Kluyveromyces lactis: one gene and its partner. The protein of the gene in region 2 purifies or fractionates together with the protein of the main gene of each other region. This does not show direct contact. Links are inferred from orthologs where the notes say so. Each region holds a gene or a part of one and is shown on either strand. Other genes may lie near its edges.

Region 1 (2,241 bases), on a different chromosome or scaffold from region 2:
ATAATTGAATGAGTTTTAGATCAATATTTCGCCAGATGTCGTCGGTAGCAGCGAACAGAAGCATAGATGGTCCCATTGCTCAGAGGATCACCAAAAAAGTGAAAGATACTTTCCCAGATCTTTCACATTTTGCTATTTTCAATGACTCATACAAGCATAGCGGTCATCATGGGATTCAAGATGCTGCGAACAAGATTGAATCACACTTCAGACTAGAGATAGTGAGCGGATTGTTCAAAGGGAAAAGCCTTCCCATGAGACACCGAATGGTATATGGGATGCTAAATGAGGAATTTGATGATGGGGTACATGCTTTACAGCTAACGACAAAAACTCCGGAGGAGTATGCCAAGAAGCATGCTGAAAATTGACGTACGTTAAAATCAACCTGAACCGATAAAATAGTTTAAAAACTTGATACTTAAGTGTATACATATATCGTGATACCAACGCACACATATAAACACGCCGCATTAAACATGTAGCTGGATATTATTGAATCAATGGTCTTCCTTTAGATGAGCTTCGTACTGCTCTAGCGATAACAATTCATCGGATTGTAAATCTGCCTCATCGTTAATTTTAATCTTGATGATCCAACCTTCACCAGCTGGGTCGCTGTTGATCAATTGTGGCGAGTCAGACAAAGCTTCGTTCACTTCCACGACAGTACCAGCGACAGGAGAGTAAATTTCAGATGCAGACTTGACGGATTCAACAGAACCAAACGAATCGCCAGCCTCTAATTCGGTATCAACATCTGGCAATTCGACGTAAGTGGCATCACCAAGTGCATCGGCTGCGTACTTGGTAATACCAATGAAGGCAGATCCATCTGGATGAGCAGCAACCCATTCATGCTGTGTAGTGTATTTAACGGTTTTTGGACCGGTTTGAGAGAAAGTGAAAGGCAATTGAGATTGGTTTAAAGCATTTGTCGATTGAGCTCTCAAGAACAAACGAGAAACTGTGCTCTTCGCAATACGAGAAGAGACAAAAGCAGTACGAGAAATAGATGAAGAGAACATAGCTTCTTACCAGGGGCGTCACTGTTCTAAAATCAGATGAATGTTACTCATTCAATGGTAAACTTAACTTTAAAACACCAATGTTGCAATGTGTATCTATTGAAAACTTCTAACATAATCATCATATATACTTAAATAACATCAAGGGTTCTTTCCGAGGTTCTGATTGACCATGAGAAAAGAAGAAGACAGTCACATGACCGAGAAAGTCGTATTTTTTTGACCGGACGTAAAATTGACTTGGAGTGTGGGCATTGCCAAGTCAGAATCTCGCTGTTTGACTTGGCCAGAAAGCGGGTGGACGAAACCCTCCTTCGAGCCGTGAAAAAGTAACAGAGACGGTATACCGGCCGCATGATGATTCTCTGGGGCAGATACGGGAAGAAAAATATCACGTTCCCACGTGATTTGTATATATCTTTAGATATGTGGATACCGGTATGCAATGCTGATGTTGCTACATTTGTGGTTCGTTTTGCATCGTTCCGGTTTATCTATTATCTAATTTTTTGGCTTACCGAGTGATATCCATCGTGCAGTTAAAGATTAGATATTGCGAGCGTGATTTATCAAGAGAGAAAACAGTAGCTGTTGTGAAGATCACATTTCGATACGCGAATGCAAAACACAAAATCTAATCGAAATCAAGTTAGCTCGAGCCTTTCCGACGTGAGACCTTAAAAAAAGAGAACACTAGGATTATCACTTCTTTTGTACTGTTGTAGTTCTGTAAAGCCTTTTTTCTTTTTGTTTTTCTTTGACAAATATCCCATAGACACCGAAAACGTCAAACTGAAATGACATGTCAGCCAAATCCAAAGTAAAAAAAAAAAATCCAACAACGAACAGTTACACTTTGAACAACTGGTTTTAACACGAGTGCAGATTGACTGAATTAAAGTACAATTAATAGAAATATGTTATCTAAACCATGATTGATCCGTAAGCTTTTAGGCTTTCTTGTATTTTTTTTTTTTTGTGTAAAATGATTCTGAATAAAATAATTCACTATTAGAGTTATTTATGTCTTGAATTGCGTTAGATTTTGTGGACAGGTAGAAAGTGCAATTTCTGATCTGGAGCCATTCTGAAACTAACGTGTACAAAGTAGCCTCGAAAAGGATTCCTTTCAAGTGGAGTTTCAGGTGGAACTATAATTCTTTGCTTTTTCTCTTTTCTTATTATTAGCGTTTCCACAATTGAAAAGAAAAAA
Region 2 (2,959 bases):
CTATCAAAGATGAAAATGGAGCAAGCGGACTCACAACTAGTCAAACTTCAGAAAAGCGTTAAACAGAAGCTTGCGAATCAACAGGCAGAACTAACCACCATCCATAATGAAGAAATACAGGCATTAAAACAAGAAAATAAGAAGCTTAATGACTCCCTAAAGGAAAATAATGACTTGAAAAATACTAAGATCAAACAGCTAAAAAGTGAAGTTGATGAATTACAGACACGTCTTGAGGTCGAAATATTTAAAAATACCCAATTACAACAAGCAAAGTCAAAACCGGTAAAGACGAAAGACGATGGTACTGCACAATTACCAGCTGTATCAACAGGTAGTAAATTACCCAGTACTACAACCAACTTGCTTTTATTAAGTTCTATCTCGGCAGGGGCTTTGGCTGCTGTGTTTAAATATGCAACAAAGTAAAACTAATCATAAATATCATTCTTAAAGTAAAAATTAATCTAAGCATTTCTTGCAGACTACGGGTGATGCGTCTAATCAGTGTAAATGGGTAAATCATCAAGTTGAATTCTCTCTACTGTGGTAATGCCCAAAAGTTTAGCTAATTGATTCACGAATGCAACTGCTACATCATTAACAGAGGTAGAACTATCAGGGACTTGTTCTCTTATGGAAGTGGCTTTTTTTTCTGACAGCCCGCACATGGTAAAACTGTTCATATAAGACAAGTCTGGGTCAACGTTAATACAAATACCATGTGAGGTGACAGATCTTCTGACATGTATGCCAATACTGGCAATTTTTTCTTGATTAGAGACCCAAACGCCGGTATCATTGGTTTTTTGGGTAATTAAATTCAATGGTTCATCTGATCCTTGGAATTTTGGAACTACTTTTAATGCGTTCATGGCCGCGTTATCAATAGTTGAAACTAAGCATTTGGCCGGCAAGTTCTGAAATGTCTTTAAATCGAGAATGATGTATGCGACTATTTGCCCTGGACCATGAAACGTCACTTGGCCACCTCTTTCAGCCTGCACAAATTTGGGTTTTTTATTATATTTCTGTTTTGATGGAATAAAGCCTTCATATCTGGCGATCTGTTCATCCGTAATTTGTTTCTTAACACGTTTTCCGCCAGTATAAGTGGGTTCAAATTGAAATGTAAGCACAATTGGATTTGGCTTCATCTGATTGATATTATCTAGTATCATTTGTTCGTGAAAATTCAATTGTATCTCGGCATTATGTTCTTTTTGTAAGTTTGTCATTTCTCTCTTTATCTTGGATTGTAGTTGCTTAATGTCAAGATGAGCGCGTACAAATTTCTCCTGAATATCGATCCCCGTTTCAAATGGGATCTCTTTAACGAATTGCAAGTGTCTGATTGTTTTAGCTGAAGGATCAATTGGTTGCGTACGGGCGGTTGATGTGCATTTCAGAGTGGATTGAAACCGGACTTTACGGAAAATTGTACATCCAAATTTTGAAGGGTACCAGTAATTAGTACCTATCAGCATCAATTTAGACATACTTAGAGTACTCTCTGGAATCTGGCTAACGCAGAATAATTGCAGGTGGTTAAGGCACCTATGTCATTATCTGAATTGGGGCCTTTGTTTATGCGGAAATTCAGAAATGTACTGTTCTGTTTTTTTTCTCTTAACAAAGACATCGCTGAAATTTAAGAATATGAAGCACAATGAAGCGATGAGCATACAGGAAACATGTTTCATGACGTAGCTTCAGTAGATAGATCATATCACGGGGTTCAACAATGAGAAATGATGAAACCAAGTTTTCAGATGGTAAGATTTCTAGATTACTAGAGTGGCTAAATGGGTCTGGAAAATGCTACGTTAATCCAAAGATCGAGGTATTTGAAGATCCGTTAGTTGGCCGAGGGATCAGGCTTGGCAACGGTATGTTGACCAAAAATGAAGTATTAATTTCCATTCCTAGTTCTCATCAGTTAAATTTTCACACGGTGTTGCATTGGATAGCAAAATTTAATAAGAATATCTTTACCAATGATAATATATCAATTGGTGAAGCTGCAACGGAATTGTTTGATGACCAGGGCCAAGAAGATCCCAGAATAAAAGCTTATGGAATTTTCAATCAAGAGGAACTTACTGATTTCAATTCTTTTCAGCTACTATGTCTTTTTATTCTTGCAGAATGGATTCTGCTTCCGAATTGGTCTAACGGTACAATAACGTCATGGTGGAAACCGTTTTTCGACATATTTCCTACCGACGACGAATTGAGATCGATTCCTACAAAATGGAGTCTAGTCCGTTCGGATAAAAATGCATCAATTTTACTTGAAAGTCTTCCAACGGCGTCAAGTGAGCACGAAAAGAGGATTAGTCAACTTTTGCTAGCTGATTGGAATGCTGTACGAGGATTTCTTAAAAAATGGACCGAAGAATTTACTCATTCAACTATTGGCATGGATGAGTTGTTCTCGCATTTTGTACACATTTATTTTGTGATTAACTCGAGATGCCTATATATGGAAATTCCATTAAAAACTGATGTCAAAGATTATTTCACTATGGTTCCCTTTGTCGATTATTTGAACCATACTAATAAGGCGAGTCTGCATTGTTATCCGGAAATCAATAAATTGAAAAGGAATGTCTACGGGTTGGGAGAATTCTCGATTAGGGTTGGAAATCACCAGTATGAGAAGGCCGGCGAAGAGTTATTTCTCAACTATGGTGCTCATTCGAATGATTTCTTATTGGCTGAATATGGCTTCACGACTTTATGCAATGAGTGGAATTTCATTGATTTGACTCCAGAATTTTGTAATATGTTTACTGACCCGAAGGATATTACATTTTTGGATAATCTCGGATACTGGAAGGACTTCACTATATCTAAAGGGGAGATAAGTTACAGAATTCTGGTCGCTGTCTCTTTGCTAGTTCACCGTGATCACCGAAAAACAGAGAGATTCGCTCTGGGCTATATTACGGAAGAA

Evidence for each region. Proteins that work in one complex are often made in the same cells at the same time.
Region 1: the proteins of LIP2 (region 2) and GCV3 purify together in Saccharomyces cerevisiae (affinity purification with mass spectrometry; 3 studies listed by BioGRID). This does not show direct contact. The link is inferred for Kluyveromyces lactis from reciprocal best matches to the Saccharomyces cerevisiae genes LIP2 and GCV3.

Annotation. Positions count from the first base shown.
Region 1 is NC_006037.1:323,991-326,231, forward strand, and holds GCV3 (glycine decarboxylase subunit H), read right to left. Parts: upstream 1,029-2,241; coding exon 501-1,028; downstream 1-500. Other genes in the region: BOL1 (Bol1p), read left to right, coding at 9-371. UniProt on the Saccharomyces cerevisiae protein: The glycine cleavage system (glycine decarboxylase complex) catalyzes the degradation of glycine. The H protein shuttles the methylamine group of glycine from the P protein to the T protein.
Region 2 is NC_006040.1:1,582,114-1,585,072, reverse strand, and holds LIP2 (lipoyl(octanoyl) transferase LIP2), read right to left. Parts: upstream 1,500-2,959; coding exon 501-1,499; downstream 1-500. Other genes in the region: KLLA0_D18799g (uncharacterized protein), read left to right, coding at 1-429; RKM2 (protein-lysine N-methyltransferase), read left to right, coding at 1,745-2,959. UniProt on the Saccharomyces cerevisiae protein: Catalyzes the transfer of endogenously produced octanoic acid from octanoyl-acyl-carrier-protein onto the lipoyl domains of lipoate-dependent enzymes. Lipoyl-ACP can also act as a substrate although octanoyl-ACP is likely to be the physiological substrate.